Linked DNA regions of Neodiprion lecontei. The protein of the gene in region 1 interacts with the protein of each later gene in a biochemical or structural test. Links are inferred from orthologs where the notes say so. Each region holds a gene or a part of one and is shown on either strand. Other genes may lie near its edges.

Evidence for each region.
Region 2: the proteins of SWI/SNF complex subunit SMARCC2 (region 1) and ATP-dependent helicase brm form a complex in vitro, tested with the Drosophila melanogaster proteins (2 studies listed by BioGRID, with this or other methods). The link is inferred for Neodiprion lecontei from reciprocal best matches to the Drosophila melanogaster genes mor and brm.
Region 3: the proteins of SWI/SNF complex subunit SMARCC2 (region 1) and bromodomain-containing protein 4 form a complex in vitro, tested with the Drosophila melanogaster proteins (2 studies listed by BioGRID, with this or other methods). The link is inferred for Neodiprion lecontei from reciprocal best matches to the Drosophila melanogaster genes mor and Bap111.

Annotation. Positions count from the first base shown.
Region 1 is NC_060265.1:28,054,141-28,062,578, forward strand, and holds SWI/SNF complex subunit SMARCC2, read left to right. Parts: upstream 1-2,149; 5' UTR 2,150-2,167; coding exon 2,168-2,284; intron 2,285-2,379; coding exon 2,380-2,499; intron 2,500-2,734; coding exon 2,735-2,848; intron 2,849-2,971; coding exon 2,972-3,342; intron 3,343-3,421; coding exon 3,422-3,673; intron 3,674-3,824; coding exon 3,825-4,117; intron 4,118-4,204; coding exon 4,205-4,514; intron 4,515-4,652; coding exon 4,653-5,410; intron 5,411-5,504; coding exon 5,505-5,857; intron 5,858-5,962; coding exon 5,963-6,421; 3' UTR 6,422-7,384; downstream 7,385-8,438. Other genes in the region: probable methyltransferase-like protein 25, read right to left, coding at 56-153, 228-582, 707-1,300; uncharacterized protein LOC107227210, read right to left, coding at 1,346-1,750; uncharacterized protein LOC107227200, read right to left, coding at 7,530-7,752, 8,029-8,234.
Region 2 is NC_060262.1:27,356,580-27,361,908, reverse strand, and holds the start of ATP-dependent helicase brm, read left to right. Parts: upstream 1-1,687; 5' UTR 1,688-1,835; intron 1,836-2,962; 5' UTR 2,963-3,002; coding exon 3,003-3,254; exon of another isoform or gene 3,255-3,727; coding exon of another isoform or gene 3,728-3,876; intron 3,877-4,115; coding exon of another isoform or gene 4,116-4,267; intron 4,268-4,383; coding exon of another isoform or gene 4,384-4,489; intron 4,490-4,911; coding exon of another isoform or gene 4,912-5,174; intron 5,175-5,285; coding exon of another isoform or gene 5,286-5,329. Other genes in the region: NADH dehydrogenase [ubiquinone] 1 beta subcomplex subunit 8, mitochondrial, read right to left, coding at 231-451, 1,151-1,235; inositol monophosphatase 1, read right to left, coding at 3,728-3,876, 4,116-4,267, 4,384-4,489, 4,912-5,174, 5,286-5,329. UniProt on the Drosophila melanogaster protein: Transcriptional regulator. Acts as a coactivator, assisting one or more dedicated transcriptional activators of ANTC and BXC homeotic gene clusters. Can counteract the repressive effect of Polycomb protein.
Region 3 is NC_060265.1:2,666,936-2,674,036, forward strand, and holds bromodomain-containing protein 4, read left to right. Parts: upstream 1-1,831; 5' UTR 1,832-1,971; exon of another isoform or gene 1,972-1,976; intron 1,977-2,335; exon of another isoform or gene 2,336-2,376; 5' UTR 2,377-2,383; coding exon 2,384-2,447; intron 2,448-2,531; coding exon 2,532-2,575; intron 2,576-2,655; coding exon 2,656-2,736; intron 2,737-2,816; coding exon 2,817-3,023; intron 3,024-3,150; coding exon 3,151-3,235; intron 3,236-3,424; coding exon 3,425-3,547; intron 3,548-3,772; coding exon 3,773-3,945; intron 3,946-4,041; coding exon 4,042-4,143; intron 4,144-4,216; coding exon 4,217-4,405; intron 4,406-4,538; coding exon 4,539-5,582; 3' UTR 5,583-5,959; downstream 5,960-7,101. Other genes in the region: malignant T-cell-amplified sequence 1 homolog, read right to left, coding at 6,694-6,775, 6,851-6,918.

The DNA of each region.
Region 1 (8,438 bases):
GATGGGTAAATTTTCAGGTTTGATTGCCACTGGTGATCTGGGTAAAAAATTTCACCTGTGTTGGATCCAGCCCAATTTTATTTAACGCCCACTTGGCGTAAGTAACGAAATTGTCCACTGGTGCACCGCGTCCCACTTTAACATCCTGCATGCCTGAAACAAATTCTTTCAATTACATGTACAGAAATTTTCAAAGCAAATTGTGTCTAGGAAATAATTTTTCTAACCCAGTGAATGAAGGAGAACTTGAAAAACTGCTCTGTAGTGAAGTGTTGGTGATAAGGAATACTCATTTTGGCACGAACGCTGAACCGACTGCTGAGCTAGCATTTTGGCATTTTTTGAAATGTTCAGTTTCCCGCCGAGTGAGGTCTCGGCTAAATGGTAACAACACGTGACTAGACAGAGAGATTTTATACAGTCAGTTTTTAAAAATGCTTTTATAACCGAATGGCCTAAAGAACCACAAGTATGGAGGCCCGTAAGCGTTAAATTTTCGCTCAAACTCCAGGTAGGAAAATATTTCTCTGCTAACTCTGCAAACTCTGTAAATTCATCTATGCGCTGTGCCAGATGATGGACCTGAAAAAAGAGTTTCACAAGATTTGACAAGTCATTCAGTCGATATATTCTGAATACATTAATCAGTTTAATCATTAGACGGTAACTAAAGTACGAGTTAGAATCTGAAGTCCGAAAATCATACCAAATGAGAACTTTGGTTGGGTTTTTTCTGTAATATATTTTGTCTTCTGATAGCACCTCTGTGAGCAATGTCTGAAGAATCTATGGCTAAGACGGGAATTTTGTATTTCTCCGAAATGTGTTGAGAGAGATAGCCTTTTCCTGCTCCAGCATCAATAACAGCGCTAGAATGAATTTCGGCCAAAGACGAAGTGATTCTAGCAACAATTTCCACTTCGTAGGATTTTTTCGCATTCATAAAATCAAGTCTGCTGTTGTGAATTTTTGACTCCAAATTCTTTAAATCGATTCCCCATTCCAAGAAGAGGTCTGGTATGTCTCTCAGATCGTATACCAGGTTACATTTGTCCAAAGACAGCGCATTGATAAGTTTACAGAACTTATACAGCTCTGGGGTAGTGGATTCCTGGCCATAAAAATTAGCATTAATGATTGAATTGGAGCTAAGTGTTTCTAGCTCGTTCCGCAGTGATTTTGGTAAGCACTGATCCCATAAATTTTCAGTTATGAAATCGACAAGATGAGAATCTATCAAAGCTTGATACGAAGTTAAAACTGTGGCTACCTTCTCCAAGTGCTCACTAAACAAAGACATTTTCAAGTTCAAAGCTGAAACCAATGTTGATACTTGCAACACATGTTAAAAATCGAGTTTCTCTTGCTCGGGATAAGTAAATTTGATCTTTGCCAGCGAGCAGATGCGGCTGTACTTTAGCTTAATGTCTTCAAGCAGTTTAAGTATATCGATCGAGTCCGAGTTGTGTTTCGGGAAGTTTTCTATGTCGCCTTGCAATTTGTTTGCCAAGTCAATAACTTTTTCAGGAAACAAATTGGCTTTGAGGTTATACTCCAAAACCCCGCTGTAAAATCCCAGCTGCGCTGCCACTTGACTTGCTCTGTGGTACCCCAAGTGGTAAGGCTCTGACAATTGAGTCCTGCCGTCTTTGTAGCCTTCCGCAAATCCAGTTTTTTCGCCTATTTCTTCGCCAAAGAGTATATCGTCAAACGCCTCATTTATATCTACGTCTTCGTTCCCCGCAGACATTTTGAATTCCAGGCAATCCAGAGTGAACTAAGGGGCAGGCTTTCCCATGGAGGCGAGAGCGTTCCAGTTATTCGAGAGTAACATATCGCGGCCGTAGTGAAAAATCGCAGAGTGAGACGTTCGGATACAATACACATTCAGTGTATTTGCTCGCGATCGAACGGCTGTGACGGATAATCGTATCCACTAGCTGTAATACTTCACTGTCCTTTTTTTTACATCAGTATTGGAGAAAAAATTAGAGTAAATGGTGAACAAGAATTAACTTAACAGGGTTGTCAAGTTTCCACGCGGAGATACAATACCGGACTTGCAGCAAACTTCGGACTCTCGTGTTGTGTGTGTGTGATGTTCGCGGGTGGCGAAGCGTTGTTTTCCTCAAGTGTCGGTGGTTTTTGAGTGAAATTAAATTGGAAAATGCTCTCTTTGGGGCCAAAGAAGGACGGCGGTCCAAATGCGAAATTCTTCGAGTCTCCAGATATACTGGGCCAATTGGACGGAGTCAAACAGTGGCTTCTAAAAAATTGTAAAAAGGTGAGGCCGGCGTCTCCCAAGCGCCGAGTTATGTTCGCTCTGATTTTCTATCGCCAGTATTTCCCTATAATCGAATTTAATTACTTTTTTCACAGTATGTTCAAACCGATCCACCCACGAATAAAAGTCTCGCGTCTTTGGTCGTCCAATTGTTACAATTCCAGGAAGATAACCTCGGAAAAAATGTGTCAAAACCGCCGATGACAAGACTTCCTGTAAGTAGCATTTACGTGCAAACATGGCTCAGTGTACAGAGTCATATTTATTTTTTTTTTCTAAGTTTTTATGAAATTCTGAATTATTTCATATCGGACTTGCATGTCTCCTAGTTAAACATAATTTCGAGATTACACAATTATCTCACTACGATGATGTTTAATCGGTGCAAATTCAATACTAAAAATTAAGAATCACCACCATGTCTCAAACATTATTAATTGCTCTTTCCAGATGAAGTGTTTCCTAGATTTCAAGCCTGGTGGTGGTCTTTGTCATATATTAGCTACCGCGTTCAGATTTAAACAGGAACAAGGATGGCGACGTTTCGACTTTCAAGTCGGCAAGGTAATGCATTTATATATGTACAAAATTCTTTGATATTTTCCATCTCTGTTAAAATTTCTTGATGTTCTACTTGAAAAATGTAAGACAAATCTTTGATCTGAATATTCTCTATTAACTTTGTAGTCCGGATCTCGCATGGATCGTGCGATAGAGATGTTAGTGGCAGCGGAACGGGCACTGGTACAAAATCGATGCATGACAGTACCCTGTGTGTACGTTAGACCAGATGTAGACAAAAATACAGCGTCCAAAGTCAAGGAAGTTGTTAAGCGTCATCAGGGAACAATTGCCGAAGCTGAGGCTGATGCAACGCACATTGTTTATCCACCAGCTGATCCCCTTGAGGAGGAATACGCTCGTCCTTACTTGAGGCGTGAACGCTCTGTTCTATTGCACTGGTACTACTTTCCCGACAGTTACGATTCATGGACAACATTAGATCTGCCTTGGGATTTCCCTGAAGGTCCTCTTGGGATAGGAAGTACAAGTGGAAGGTATGATAATAATCAATTAAAAGTTATTTCATGTCATGAATAAGATATAAGTTACTTATTCAGTATAACCAAGGAAAAGTGATGAAATTATTGATTACAGACCTCAGTATCGTGTGTCGGCTACTTGGGCTCTAGATCTTGACCAGTACAATGAGTGGATGAACGAAGAAGACTACGATGTCGATGATAATGGACAGAAGAGAGTTCACAAGTACCGGCTTTCTGTCGAAGACTTGATGGCTCAACCGTCTCATCCGCCACCTTCGTCTGCAAAAAAACAGAAACGAAAACGCTCCCCCAGTCCACCTCCAAAAATTGGAAAGCGTAAAAGGTGTGCATTTTGTATTTAAAAAAATGGCAGCTATTACATCAACATGGTGTGTTGAAGAAAAGTGATAAACGATTGTCGATAGATTATAATCCTCATTCCGTTACATTCATGTGAAACCAGACTTTTATAGATATTCGTATTTTTTTAACAGTGGTCGCGGACCGGCAGGACTCCAAGGTTCGTCTACTTCTTTGGCTACTCCAAAAAAGTCTCGAGGTGGCGTCGACGAAGAAGAAGATCTGACACAGGGGATGGAAGATCCTCCAGCTGAACCAAGGATAATAGAAGTGGTAGCAAGCCCAGCCAATCCACCTTCTATTGGGCCTGGTGGTGGATCTACAGCTGGTAGTGGAAGTTTGTCGACAACTGGAAACAAAAAACAAGATAGTGAACTACAACCTCTAAAATCTGGCAACATGGCTGATTTGGATGAGCCTATAGACGGTGTGTAATCCGCAGTCACACTTAAATTGGACGTGTTTATGAATATACAATAAGCAAATGTTTTAGCTACTGATTCAATGATTTTAGGTGACAAAGGAAGTACACAAGCGGCTCAGGAAAGAGAGGAACGCGGAGCTAGCAAGGAACGAGGAGAGGGTGGGAAAGGAGATGAGCCGGAAGATAATGTTACTGAGCAAACGCACCATATTGTTGTACCCAGCTACTCAGCTTGGTTCGATTACAACTCAATCCATACCATTGAGAAGCGTGCGTTGTCCGAATTTTTTAATGGTAAAAACAAATCGAAAACGCCCGAAATCTACCTTGCTTATCGCAACTTTATGATCGATACTTACCGACTAAATCCAACCGAATATATCACCTCTACTGCCTGCAGGTACGGACAAAACTGTTTCCCTTTCAAAATTCGGTTTGAAGAAGCTCTTGTATACCAGGGTGTTATTTGAGTACTAATCACTTCGTATCACTCGCATTGTACTAAAAAATCCATATAACGTGGCATAATTGTTTTCAGACGTAATTTAGCAGGAGATGTGTGTGCCATTATGCGTGTTCACGCGTTTCTAGAGCAGTGGGGTCTCATTAATTATCAAGTTGACGCAGAATCTAGACCAACTCCAATGGGTCCGCCACCTACATCTCACTTCCACGTTCTCTCAGACACTCCATCTGGACTGGCACCTGTTAATCCGAATCCTCCCAAAACTCCGCAGCCTTCCAGTGCTGCAAAATCTCTGTTGGATTTGGAAAAGAAGCCTGCTGTTGTTGGCATGGGACCAGAAGAAAAGAGCGGACTTGGAGTTATGACTAACTTTGGTCTGAAGGTGGATCAGTATTCCAGAAAACCTGCAGTTTTAAAAAGCAAACAAGCTGCTGGTGCCACTCGCGATTGGACCGAACAAGAAACGCTATTGTTATTAGAAGGGTTAGAGCTCCATAAAGATGATTGGAACAAAGTTTGCGAACATGTTGGATCTCGTACTCAAGACGAGTGCATACTTCATTTCTTACGTCTACCTATCGAAGATCCGTACCTCGAAGAAGGAGGCCCTGAGGGTCTAGGACCACTCGCCTATCAGCCTGTTCCATTTTCCAAGGCTGGTAACCCGGTCATGAGCACAGTAGCTTTCTTAGCTTCCGTTGTGGATCCAAGAGTGGCTGCTAGTGCTGCTAAAGCCGCTATGGAAGAATTTGCAGCAATCAAAGATCAAGTGCCTGCAGCCCTACTGGATCAGCATCTTCGTAATGTTCAAGCAAGTGCTAATCCAGATGGTAAGTTTTGGGGAAAACAGATTAAATAGACTGGTAACGAGTACGAAAATGATTTTTATCTATGTTAACAATAATCACTCGTCTGTATATTCAGGTAAATTTGATCCATCAGCAGGACTTGCACAGTCCGGTATTGCAGGAACTGGACCTCCAGAACCACCCGAAGATCCTGCTGTCTCAGCTACTAGTGCAACTTCCTCGTCTGCAAGTGTTACTTCTCCTCAAGCTTCGACTGCGGAAAGTAAAAAAGAGGAGCTTCAGGATATTAAAGTCAAGGAGGGGGTGGATGCTACGCAGGTGCCACCACAATCTATGAAAAAGGAAGAGTCAGTGGAGAGTGAACGTGACCAGCCAGAAAAAATAGAGGTCGATCCAAAGGAGAATGACGATGAAGCTAAGTCTAAAGGAGATCCTGAAGAAACTGAAGCTAAAGAAAAGAGAGATAAGGTAATATTAACGGCATTGAATACTCTATTCTATCAAGGGCTAAGATTATATTAGTTTCTGTCATGTAAACAATGTCTAAAGCTATTCTTTATTACTCTGACGCAGGTGGTTAGAGATGCGCAACTACAATCTGCTGCGGCGGCCGCGTTAGCAGCTGCAGCTGTCAAAGCAAAACACTTAGCAGCGGTAGAGGAAAGAAAAATCAAGTCTTTAGTGGCACTACTGGTTGAAACGCAGATGAAAAAGCTTGAAATAAAATTGCGGCATTTCGAGGAGCTGGAGACAACAATGGAAAGGGAACGGGAGGGCTTGGAATATCAGCGCCAGCAACTAATTACAGAACGGCAGCAATTTCACTTGGAACAATTAAAAGCAGCGGAATTTCGTGCTCGACAGCAAGCACACCAACGGCTAGCCCAGGAACAGCAGCAACAACAGCAGAGTCAGCATCCACCGTGGCAAGCATCCAATACTCAGCAACAACAGCAACAGCAACAACAGCCACCTAGTCCGCAGCCACAGGTGGCGCAACCGCCTCCGCACACTCCACCTCAACAAGCGTAATTCACAGCACTTTTTATAAAACAAACCAGTATAATAAACAAACACGCATTTTAGTGGTTGTCATATAAGTCGGGAGTAGTGACTGATAAATTTACTATACTTTGATATTCGATAAACCCATTCATGGAGTGTGTCGGTATACATCCAAAATTCCTAGGGCATGTTGGACGCGTTTTCTTCATGTGATTTCCTTTGCTTTTTTCTCTTTCGCTTCGTTTTCAATTCCTGATCATCGCTGTAAAACTTATTTAGCTTGGTTAGTAAGACCATTTTATTGGAAATATTTTATTTTTTACTTATTTATTACCAGCTAGAAACGTGGTTGCATTATGCAATGTGAAAAACTATTCTTCTCAAGATATTGCCGAGGCCTAATCAACAATGTACAGTTAACTTTGCTGTAACCTAAATTATTAGACAACCACTAATAGTTTTAAAATGCCGATATACCGGGCCAACCGATTATTCCAATACAATAACAACTACCGTTAGAATTTGATTTCATCCCGAATAAATGAGTAATATTTAAGCTGTATATTGCGGACCAGCTACAATGGTTAATTTCGTGTGTACCAATCATTTGTTCTATGCAGAATGCTTTGAGAGTAATTATTGAATCAGGGAGCATGAAACGCTGTTTTGATTATTACACCATTTTGCGAGAAAGTTTGAACAAATTTTAAAATGCATTCATGGACTTCGTACCTATATTATAATAATTCATAATATAATCAACTCATGATCTTCGTGTACAATACACTATTACATACATATACATATTATATATATATATAATTATTTGAAATCAATTATTGTGCACCGTTATCATCTTGTAATATAAGATCTTACCGAATTTAGGAAATAGATAATAAGGTTAAACACGATGTCACTATACTAAAATAGTATAACGCAAAACTGCTATAGGGAAAACGTAAATGAATTAAAACAATTGGGTACCAGTAATCAAGGTTACGTTAACATCATTTTATTCATATATATATTGAAAAACCATATTACGTTTAAGAACGTTTTAGGTTAATTAAGATTGGATTATTTGTGTTTTCTACTTTGGATTGAGAAATTGTGTTACAATAATGGTCTAACGAATTCATAGAGCCTGGTTATCTATTAGCTCCAATACCAGGTCAGTCATCAGACGTGCACACTCCACACCTCCGGGTGGAGGCCCTTGTGCTCCCTCCACTTTTTCGCTTTGTTCTTCATCCTCGTACAAATCTGGGGCTTCGTCGCTGGCACAGGTACTTATTGGAAGCATATCTAATGCTATGCCCAACCCAAAGCGTCCACATCTCCGCAGCTCTTCAGTTAAACTATTATCAATTTCGAAACAAACATTAATATTTTCTAATACTTGTATATGTATGTAATTTAACATTATAACGTTTTAGGTATGCATATTTACTTGGCTTTTGGTGTCATGCAACAACCAATACATAGATATTCATTTACAAAAATATCTGGAACTGTTGGCAAACGACTGTGATCTGTTTATATCGCACTGTAAATCACGGAAAACGGTACTTTTCATTTCATCGCACCACCCGAGTTAGAAATCAAACTACATTTAAATATCCTTTTCCACTTACATATCCCACATGATTTCAGGATCTCTCAAAGCTTCTTGAACATTGAGCATCTTTAGAGCATAAGTTAAGTGATGGTGGTAATGGCGTAAAAGTGATGTCATGTGAGCACGTCTGACTTCTCCGCTGGTGCAACAATAGAGAAGTGTTGCTAAATCAAGGGCCAATGAACCCACCCGAGACAGTTGGAAATCAACAAAGCATACAACCTGCTCAAACGTAAGTAGAACAAATGAAATCTTGAGTTATAATTGTAATGATAATTTTTTGAATCCTAGACTGTGCCCTATACATATATATGCGATTGGAAAGTGTTAAAAATTTCATGCTGTGCTGGAAAATTCCTAATTATCATCACATAAATTACATATATTGATAGACAAACAAAACTGAAAATAATTTTACAAAACATC
Region 2 (5,329 bases), on another chromosome or scaffold:
AAAGGAATTGTCATGTAATTCTTAATTATTCTATGAATTACTTGTTCACGCCATGAAAAATGAATGCAGTAAATTTGATATTCATCAGGAGTTTGATTCTCTTACTGTTGCATCCTGAAGATTTGCTTTTAAATTCAAGTGTTTCAAATAGCATTGATACCCTAATAAGGCAACATGCGTTTGTTTTGAGAAAGTATAAGAAAACTCGGAATGAAATGAATTGTACTAACAGGTTCGTTGAAATTTCTTTTATGTTCTGGGAAATCCCAAGGGTAATAATCATCCTTGGCTTCAGCCGAGACCATAGGAAGTTCTGGATAATCTCCTAAACCATTTCCATCATCTGGAATTGGTTTATAATCTTCTTTTATTAGGTTATATTTCTCTGCTGCTTTAGCTCTTTCTTCTTCTGTTGTTGGATATTGGGCTGGTTTATAGTCCCTGATCATACCTGAACAGAAAAGATTTTATCATAATTTATAATACGTTTAAATGAGTTGAACTTTGTGACCGTATAGATATTATAAATATTTGATTTCGTTGGACGACGGTCAGGGTTGGAATGATGGTCAATAAGCAATGAATTTTATTTTCCGTACATTTTGGCAGGTCCTGATGATGGTCGGCTGGGCCTGCCGAAACGTCGTACAGAAGATAAAATTGATTGCTTAATGTGCATCATTCCAACCCTAACCGTCATCCAACGAAATCAAATATTCATAACACGTTTAAAAGAATGTTTTGTTAATTCGTAACAGTTAGCTTTCAGTTCATTACCTAATATGCATGAAACAATTTAATGAAATTATTTATCAGGCCATTTAAAGCAGGTACAGTAATGAAATCTCATTGCATCTGTTTTGAAACATACATTCTGGCATTTTGATGACATAAATATGTATTAGCTGTTCATATGGAGTTAAGCTGCCCGTGAGAAAGTTGAAGATATCAAAAAAGATATGTATCGTAATATCGAGGAGCAGGAAAAGTAAGCTACACATTAATTTTCGTTAAAATCTGTAATGCAAAGTAATAAATTATGTAATTGATGGACATAACCTCTACGGTGTGCGTTTACTCCAGTAACTTCATTCGCACTCACGAAATATTTCACACAAATATATTTTTATGGTGTTCTGTTTACACTTACTGTATTTCGCTATATTATACGTGTAGACACCGTTTTGTGGCCATAATCGGGTCGAAATTTTACAGAACTTCGCGAGAGAAGACATTTTTGATAACTCAGGCCTTTCCGGCTCTGACCACCAACTATAGAAACTCCGTCTCTGTGGCTACGGGCTCTACGGAGGCGCGGCGTTGAACGCGTTCTAGCCATGGACTAAAGCCATAGACTATCGTAAGCGTTGACTGAACTCACTGATATGTAACAGTAACCAAACAAGATCAACACAAAAGACAATCTAAAGCCAGAGTTGAATCAAATGTCCGCTATCTCTTGCTTTTTTCATTTTTAAAAACGACATTTCTCAACGCTTTTTATACCCATATATAGCGATTTGAGCCATAAAATGGGTAAAACATCGATTGGGTTCGTATGGTAAAGATGGCCTGAAGATGGATTCGCACCGCTGTTTTTATGTATAAACATTCAGCATACGATTGGCGATAGCAGCGCCACTAGCGTCTGAACGAGCGAGAATGCGGGAAAGAAAGATGGCCGGCGGCTTGTGTTATTCGGTGGGATTTGTCGTGTAGTCGCGGTCAAGATTGCTTTCTCCTATTTAGGTTGAAATATTACAAGTTTACTGCATGAACGTAGTGGAAACTATTCGTCGTATGTTCGGCGGAAGCCCGAGCTAAGAGTTAAAAAGGTACGAGTCGTCTTTACAGACATATTCATGAATGTATGTCTTACGTTTTTGCGTAATGGCCAAAAGGGACTCCGATTCGCTCGAGTGTGTTTGTGCTTCAACTTTGTTGACGATGAAATTCTAGTTGAAATCGTCACGATTTGAAACTAACTCATTGAATAATATAATTGAGGTACCAAGTTTTCCGTAAAGCGTACATTATCTGAGACGTACACAGAGTGTTGAGTAATATTTGACGACGAAGCCGTGAGTTTGGTGTCACACACACATAATTGTGTTCCATCAATCCAAGTTTTTCGCCTCACCCTGCCTTACGAACCACTGTCGTATTTTTGATAGTTTTTTTTTTTAACTCTCTCAATTTTCTTAGGTATTATGAATTACGTCATTTTGTGTCTTCTTTTTTTGCTATTAAATATGCAGACTTTTTGTCATCAGCTTTGTTGTTAACTTGTAAATGTGAAATGAGGTTACATTTGACGGGTTCTCGTACTCGTGATCATAATCCTGACAAAAGAATTATCAGTTTAAGCCAGAAAATTTCGATAATCTTTGACTAATTAAATAAATACCACTTTAAACCATCAATGAAATAGGCACTATGCTCAAAATCACAATTGTAAGAAACTTACCTCGCACACCCAGATATGCAGTCGATGTATCAGTTGCCATTATTCTGTGATGCAACGTCACCTTGGTTGTTTGTGCACTAACGCGAAGCATAAATTCTTCATAAAATAAACTTTGTGTCTTTCCCATGTATTTTGATCTAGGAAGCTATGCAATCGTGACTGAAACATCTTGTGATTCGTTCATGTTGAAAACCACGGGTTCATTCTAATGGAAATATTTCTGAAAAGCAATTCTGTTAATCTTTGGAATATAAGCAGTATTACAGTTGTTAATGATTCTACTTTTGTTGAACGGAATGGACTTGGAAAAATCAGGGATGCTGAGAGAGTCAACCGAAAAAAACATTATCGTTTCCAAAATATTTTTTCTGCATTCTTACGCAAACCTTATTAAAAATTAAATTCCTGTCCGAGTCTTCCATAAAAGGAACTTCGAATTTATATCCTAATGTTTGTCTAACTTTGGTTTCATTGGTAATGAGATTTATTTTTCAGAGTCCCAGTACTGAATAAGCTGGAGTCTGATAGAAACAGCATGGCGAGCCCCTCGCCCCAATCGTCTCCCATGCCACCCCCACAAGCACCAAGTCCAATGGGCCCTCCCCAACAAGCTCCATCCCCGTCCAATCCTCAAGGCAGTCCAATGGGTCCTCCACAACATCATCCTCATAGTCCAACTCAAGGATATCAGGGCGGTCCACCAATGCCGCAGCAACAGCAGCCTCCCCCACAGCAACAAGGGTATCCTCCACACCCGCAGCAAATGCCACCAAATATGGGACCTCAGGTGAGATGTTTTTAAATTCAAATCATCGAATGAAGCTAAAGTCTTCAGAATTCACAATGGGATGTGTTAATCATTGTATGCTATTTCTCCTCGCCGGATTCGGTTCTTAAAGATAAGTTGAACGTGGAGTAATCAAATTATATGTTAGCTTGTATTGATATGAAAATCTAGTGAAATGCTTCTTGGAACAAATTTATTTTGTAGACGGTTCAAGGGAATTGAAATGCTCATTGCGTGAAGAGTTTAAATTTAGTAGTTATAATTCAAAAGATCAATTAAACGAAGAGAATGAAGAACAAGTGAAGAACTTGGACATATATACGACGATTTTTCTATTCTCTTCTTTCCGTTATTTGCTTATTTGACACTGCTAATTGTCATAAATCGCTGTGCTGAACTTGATATTGGAAGTTTTAAGATGAATAGTTACAGAAGTTTGGAATTACACAGTACAAGATATAAAGGGAAGTTTGTTAAAGATCTGAACTTATCTGCAACAAGAAGTCAGATATTTTTTCCTGACCGATGCTGTCTGTTTTCTTGAATAGATTGACAATTTGTTCAGCTATTTCACGGTTACAAGCTGCAATCACTTTTGGGTTCATCAAATCTAAAACTCCACCTGAAAAAAGAATCCATTTCAAGTCCATAAATTAATTTGAAGAATTCTGTACATAGATGAATGTAGACGATCCGTCAAATTCTATAATGTTGATTTTCTGCTTCCTCATCATAGATTATTCTGTTTTCAATATTTAGAATGTTTATATTAGTATACATTCTTATCAATTCTCCGTTGACAGAAGAGAAGAAAAAAAATATTTCCCTCGATTACACACACCATAAATTATATGATCTTACCAGTAGTATCCACAACCATCCCTCCAGCCTCTTCGATGATTAATTGTCCGGCAGCCACGTCCCATGGGTCTATGCCTTCGATGTGATATGCTTCGATTGCACCCATCGCTACGTAGCATAGACTTAGCGCAGCCAGTCCCAGAGATCTAATTCTGAAATAATTTGTTGATAGTTTCATTCGAAATTATACTTACACGCAACTGTTCAACTATGAGAGTTTCTTTCGATTAATACAGCTTGTAGTCCTTGAATTTTTTCTAGTACCAACCCGTGAGTCTTCTGAATTAGAAAATGTGTTCTGCTATACAAACTTGAGGTATGTTCTTCATTTTTGGCTAACCATGGCTCGATTCCGACAAGAGCATGCGAAAGGTCTGAAACATCCAATTTTGTGTCAATTCTGACATTTTTGTTCGACAAATGTTCAATTTCAATTAATTGTACTTTCGATTTAGGAGAGACGGTACTTGTATCACATTTTGTGGTATATTTATTTTTTTGTCAACTCCTTGGCTTGCACTGGCAATTAAAATTATCAGCCATTGTTACTTATTAGTGTGAGATAATATTTCACTAGGTTAACGATGGTAACGTGAACCTAATGAATAATTGGAAAAAATCACTATCTTGCAATTTTTAAATAATTTCAAAGCAGTTATGTTTTTAAAACATGGGCACATTTTATTTTATCATGGTCTACTGAATTTCAGATAATTCTAAAATTGACAAATAATAATTTTTCGAATCATATATCGCTACAATAACGTTGCTAACTTCATCCTCACAATATTTTTACCTTGAACACCAGAAGTTCGGATCGGTTTCCCATTTAGGAAAGCTCCTTTTCCCCTCACCGCAGAGAAGAATTGCTGCATAACAGGATTGTAAACGATACCGATTTCAACTCTTTTATTGATGACCAAAGCGATGGAGATACAAACGTGAGGAAACTTGTGAATAAAGTTAGTCGTTCCGTCTATCGGATCAATTATCCACGTGGGATCATCAGTTAATTCCGGCATTTTACCCTCATTCGCCACATCTTCTTCTCCTATAAACCTGTTATTCGAATCACGTGGCACCATCATTGTCGAGTTATAATGTATATGCAATTAATTGTTAGTCGGCGAATACCCGACCACGTACAGCAATATCTATGATGAAACTCACTTGTGAGTGGGAAACTTTGCTGACAAGCTTCTTATTACAATTTC
Region 3 (7,101 bases), about 25 Mb from region 1:
ACCATACTTAGGTACAGTACACTGCCGACCAATATTCATTATCCCTGAATTTTCAATACCGCAATAGCTTTCAATCATCCACAATAATGGTAACATTCTTCTATGTCGCGCCACATTTTTTCCTCTGGATCACACGTTAGTCATGTGAGAACCTTCGAGAAGGGGATGAAATGAGTTAATATTCTGAATTACACGGTTGCAAATGATACCATGTTTTTCAGGGACCCAAAAAATAATGCCGTTTGTACCCGTCACCGAGGGAGGCTCAAAATAATGAAACCTGCCAATATCTTATGTATTTTTTAGTGATTCTTGTAGGACCAGCATAACCTCAATGGAGTGACTAGTGCGAGAATATGAGTAGCTAGGATCGAAATATATTCAGTAAAAAAATGGGCGAATAAAAAGTTAATATTCTCAGTCATCCCAGGAAAAACTATTTCTCGGATGCGGCATCATAACCTCTAAATGAAAGTCAACGAGTGTTAAAAATAGCATTCGCGATTATAACTGATAATGATGATGATGATAATAAATAAACACCTGAAAGTAATACTTGCCTGCAGTGGTCTGGTTACTATCGTGGAAGTAAGTTTCAATGAAGACAATCAAATTATTATTAATCTTCGCAATTTTGATCCCACAGTAAACACAGCAATCACATGTTTTCAAGCCGATCTGATTTCAAATATTGCGGCTTGTTGACACTAAAACCCAATCTGGCACGTGTTCCGTAACACGTTACCAATCTTCGGATTTGCGTTCCGCATGCGAGTAAAATAACCCGACGACACCGTTTCCAGCGTGTAATTTAAATCCGGAAAAATTATTACAACGTTGCTGAATTGAGAAATCATATCTCTTTACGTTGCTTACCAACTTGGAGCATATGCATACCAACAATGATATGAATAAATAATAATTAGGTGTATGGCAAAGCTTGCGCACGTGAAGCTCAAGCTTGAATGAGAAGATAGCAAATAAATTACGTTCATACGTGTACACAGATGACAAATGCAGTATATCATATTTTCGAACAGAAGTATATATGTATGTGCAAATGTTCATATTATACCTGGATGTCCATGTAATGAAGAAAGAACAGTTCGATGTACGTTCATCTTTTCTTCGGGAGAATTGAACAATTCGTTTTCACTACGCGCACTCGAGTCCGAGGATATCCTAACTATAAACGATCACTTTTCACCTGTAAACATCTGAACTCTACGTTTGCAGATACACGAAACGAAAATCAAACTGGAAATTTTTTTTCATTTTGAGGGCGGAATAGACTCGTTTATTTTTTATACCGTTTGGATAATACACTACGTAAATACCACTGCGGACAGTATCACAAATGTATCACAAATTTGTTAATATTTTTAATTCAAAACTAACAAACTTACCGTCAAAACTTTATTCTTTACAGCGCGAGAAAGAATTCGGACTTGGAACTGATCAACAACATGGCTTCCCGATCGTCTATCAATTGTTTATTCTAACGTCGCGGACTTGGACAAAAAACCGTTGACCTAAAACTCGAATAACGCTATTCACCAAAGTTCAATTATATTAACTCAGGTTTTATGTTAATATATAACAAAGATAATCAATAAAAACAAATACTTACATGAGTATTGTCGACTAAAGTCCTAAAAGTAGACCCGATCGGCATTAAAAGCAGATGAGACTCCGGTCCGTTGCCAACGTCACACCGATCATGTTGTAAGCGTGATCCGCCATCTCTTGATGATTTTTGTAAGTTCAAAAGCTAGACGCCATCTACGAGATGCGTGCTGACAACTATGCTTTTTTAATGTGGGCATGTACGAGCAATCTATGAAATTCTGAAACCTCGCCCGACGCTTCGGCGTTTTGTACCGTGAATTGTAAATTTTCGTTACTCTCTAACTTTGATTCAGTATGAGGTTTTACTCCTGAAACGATTGACGGTGGTTTCTTACTTACAAAGTAAGTACTTTCATTTATTCGTAATGCTTTATTCGATTTTTCCTTTCCTTCGAATTGGACAGCAGAGGCTTACGTGTACGGAATTTAGCTCATTGCCAGCAACAGCTTAGCACAGTTTTCATACATAATGTTCATTTCCCAAAGTCGGATTTCCAGGAACTCGATTGGATTAATTTACAGACAATTCGAACGGAGTTGTAACCTTCTGTTAACTATTTTGCAAGCGGCGGAAATGATATTTACTCAGAAACTGGAGCTTCTGATATTTTCCCACGATTTCATATATTATCACAAATCTTTGATTGCAGTAGATTGTGAAAAAATTAATTTTTCGACAAACCCAAGTTAATTGTTTTCAAGAATACCGTCTTTCAACGATTCATTCATTAATTTTCAAATGTACAGGTAAAGGATGGCGTTACCGCAGAATTACAAACAAGTGGCGATGGCGTCGTCAAATGTTGTTTCTAGCAATCGTATGTATAATAAACCTAAAGTGAACATCATGCGCATAGACAAAATTGAATGCTGAAATTATAACTGTTGGATATTTTTAACAGAACGATTACGGGCTTCCGGTGCCAGTGGTAGTTCTAGTACAGGGGTATGTTATCAAGCAATCTTTCTCATACGCATCAGTCAAACATCTCTGATCCAGAAATTTAATCATGACATTATTTGCAGAAAGATGCGCAGACCCCTTTCATTCAAACACCTCATGGACATCCTGGATTTACCCCACAGAAAGTTGGAAAAAGCACACCGGTAGACATGCGTTTATTTACATAAAATGTTGTTCTGCCGTTGGCTGCTTACAGGATCCACAATTATGCTATATGTTTCAGGCGGATTCTAGGTTGCCAAAACCACCCAAGCCTCCAGAGAAACCATTGATGCCATACATGAGATACAGCAGAAAAGTCTGGGACCAAGTGAAAGCTCAAAATCCCGAGTTAAAACTATGGGAAATAGGAAAAATCATCGGGCAGATGTGGAGAGACCTACCGGAAGATGAGAAAACTGAATTCATCGAAGAATATGAAGCAGAAAAGGTGAGTATACTGAATTTCAAATATCGAAAACCCTTCTTCCTCATTGCTACCCACTACAGCTACATCTGAAGTTTTCAAATGTTTCTCTCTTTGAAAATTCTAAACAACTAGTAATGTTTGGTTTCAGGTCGAATATGAGAAGAGCTTAAAAACTTACCATAATTCGCCTGCATACCTTGCGTATATCGCTGCAAAGAATAGGGGAAAATCTGGTAGGTTTCAGCTAATTTTTTACTCTATCTGATATTCGTTGCATTATTGTATAACAAGACATATATAGCTCTAACTGCACTTTTCTGTGTCAGATAAGAAAATGATCTGGTATATTTAGATGTGTTTTGTCAGCTTGTGCATATCCAAACACTGAGTGTAGGATGTTTACAAACTTGTGTCTAATGCAGTGTTATGTGCAGCTCAGCAAAATAGCGATGATCGAGAAACTCATGAGCGTTCCTCTGGAAGCAGTAAAAGTCAGGCAGCCCAAGACCGACGGATAGACATTCAACCGGCGGAAGATGATGATGGTATACAATTTATCCATTAACTATCCATTTCTTCTTTTGTTAAACTGTAAGTTTTGGCCTAAGAAGTTCATAATTTGCTATCCCGAAATAAGAGGTAAGCGCAATTGGGATTTCCTAATCTGTGTTAGGTTTTGAAAGACTAATCGTATAAAGTTGACTGGATCTGTACAAACTTAGCAAACGTCGTTGAGCACCGAGTTATGTTCTATTTCTATTTATCCCTAGATCAAGACGATGGATATTCAGTCAAACACGTTGCATATTCTCGATTCGCCCGCAATCACAGACTGATAAATGAGATCTTTAGCGACACCGTTGTACCAGATGTGCGTTCTGTAGTTACTACTCAAAGAATGCAAGTTCTTCGACGCCAAGTACAGTCACTCACAATGCATCAGGTAGTCTAAACCACACGTTGTTAGTAAAATAAATATGTCTTCTATTGTAAAGCAAGAATTGCTTTAACTTATAAATATAATAAAATACTTCTGCAGAAAAAATTAGAAGCTGAGCTGCAGCAGATTGAAGAAAAGTTTGACGCAAAAAAACGTAAATTCGTTGAAGCTAGCGAAGTGTTTCAAGATGAATTAAAGAAAGTAAGTAAAAACTTGTAGTTTACAATTTTAGCATAATAATAAATTGTTGCTGATATACGTTTTATCCCATCAGCATTGTAAGCCTGCAGTAGACGAAGATGCATTCAATAAAATGGTTGAGCGTCAATACGAGTTATTACGAAGAGACAGACAAAAAGGTACCGAAGAAAATCGATCTGATGGCCCGGCTTCAAGCGAATCAACACCGAATTCCACTCCAACTCCAACTCCGGCCCCAGTTAGCGAAGAATCACAACCTGAGGTATTAATAATTTGTTATAAATATACTATGTAAAAATGGATTCTGAGTAAGAGCAGATTATTAGATGAACGGAGAACAAAGACATTCTCACATTCGAAGCTTATAATCAATTGACGTGTGTATATTTCTATAGATTACAGACAGCGAACCATCAGAAAAGAAAATGGATGTGGATCAGCCTATCGAAACGAAAAAGGAGACACTTTCACCGCCATACACAGAAGTAAAAACTGAAACAACAATGCAAACAAATAATCACTCTCCGCAGAGGTCTTCACCTGTGACATATCCGGGAGCAGTGAGCCCCATCCAGCAAACAACCGTTACTACCGCTACAAGCGTACCCCCACCCCAGCCTTCTACTCCACCAGCCATTGCTCCTGTACTTGTACCAGCACAGCCTCCACCACTGCTACTACAACAGCAACATCACCAACAACAACAACAACAGCAGCAGCAGCAACAGCAACAACAGCAGCAGCAACAGCAGCAGCAACAACAGCAGCAGCAGCAGCAACTACCACCACCACCACCTCAGCCGCAACCTCAAACTCAACCTCAGCAACAGCAACAGCAACAGCAACAGCAACAGCAACCTCAACCTCCTCCATCGCATACCCCCCATCAACAAAACGTTCTTCCCAATCATTCGATTCCTCCCCATCAGAATCACACTCTACCCTCTCAAGCGACACCTCCGCACAATCAAAACATGCCGCCCCAAACAATGCCTTCCCAAAATGCAATGCCACCAAACCCTCACGTGAACTCAATGATACCCACCGGTCAGAGTTACAATCAGCAGTATCAACCGGCCGGAGGTCAACAAGCGCAAAATGTTCCGTTGGCTCCAAGACCGCCACATCCTTCTTATGCGTATTCTCAACAGCAGCCGTATCATCAACCTTATCCTCAATATGCTCATCCCTATTATCAATCTTATTCCCAGTATGCTCCCCATTCTATGGGTAGACCGCACTCTCACGGCCCACACAGCCCTCATAGTCCTCATTATCATCCTCAATCACCGCACAATGTGGGAGATGGAAATTCAGGTTCTAATGTTGGCTCTGATTCAGGAGCTTCGTATGCTTCGACACCTATTCACGGCGACAGAGATCGACCTCCCGAAAACCAGGCGGACAATCAAAAAATGGATACATCTGGATCAGGATAAATCCACGAAGTGTTGAATTTAGTTTGTAAGCTATTTTCAAACAAAACAACCTTTTTATTAATAATTGTATTGGAGTGGTGTTTAGTTTCGAAAAACCTATAACTGTAAGTATTCATGTCCCATTTTTGTCATTATACTAGGTTATTCTGATTTATGGTTATACAATGTTGGCTACACACTGATTAATATAGGTTGAAGTAATCTAGTATTTCATCATCATTCACACCATAATGGAAGACTAGGTAATGCTTTTAAAAACACGTATGACCTAGCTGATCTTTTCGTAGAGTGTTTAGAACGATTTCTTAACAATTGCTGATTATCATTGGAACTGATCAATATGGTAATAGAAATAAAGCTTACTCTATAAAACTGGACATTCATTTTATCATTTCGGATGCAGTAATTTAAGCGACTGTACAGAAAACGTTGCAACACATCAATTTGCATAACTCGTGAGTATAAATGTAATACATTCTTAGTATCCAGCTACAGTGATATCAAGTTTATTGACATGTTAAAAAAACGGCTGAATGCGTAGTAGTATATTCAATACCAGTCACAGGAGATTAATCGAAATAATTTGATAATTCTATTATTTTTTCCTTGTAGAAAGAGACAAGAATAGTATATTATGCAACAATAAAGTCAAAGATTATTCCTGCGGGTGGGTTTGCTACCTGAGCGAAACGAGGGCAGTAATCACCTGAAGGAATAATCGACTTGTATTTCTGTTGCATGTAAAACTTTATTCCAGGCTCAACTCTGATCACATTATTGACTTGATAGTCTTAACTTTTTATGTGCAAGTGTGATCATTTTATTAGTCTAAAGACTAGGATATTGTTGAAAATTCACAATAACACCGTACGAAATAGTTAAAATTTGAAAATAGTGAGAAAAACTGAAAAACCCATTTCAAAACTAATCATTATTCCCGCAAATGTAGGAGAAACGTGCTACATTTCTCTCACAAACGAGGGAAAGAAATAAAGAAGGAATCTGCTACTTTTGTCCCACATTTCAGGTCAATAAAGTGAACAATCATGGTTGAGTTGGGAATAGAATAATCTTATTTTACAGGCATTCCAGTAGGTAATAAAGTAACAACTCATTTCACAGCCTTCATTTGCCAAAGTCCATCATTGAGGTAATGACAGTTTTCAACACCAACGCCTTTGTTTATTTTTGCGCTGAAATTTATAAATGTAAGTTACAATTATGATACAATTGTAGCCAAAATTGTATTCATCAATCTTTCGACTTACATATCATCAGTTGACAACGATGTCATTCCAACTGCTAAAGCATGTTGTTTGCCCTCGGCCATAACTGCCTAAATGAACGAGTTACTTGGATATAGAATAATATTTTTGAACAATCGTGTGATAATAAAAACGAAGAAGAAATAAACCCATCACATGTCGATCACTGCCAATAAGAAAAATCCATCTCCAGAGTGACAATATGAAAACCTAACGTACCTCCTATACTGGAGAATAAAAGGTTTTTTTTCACG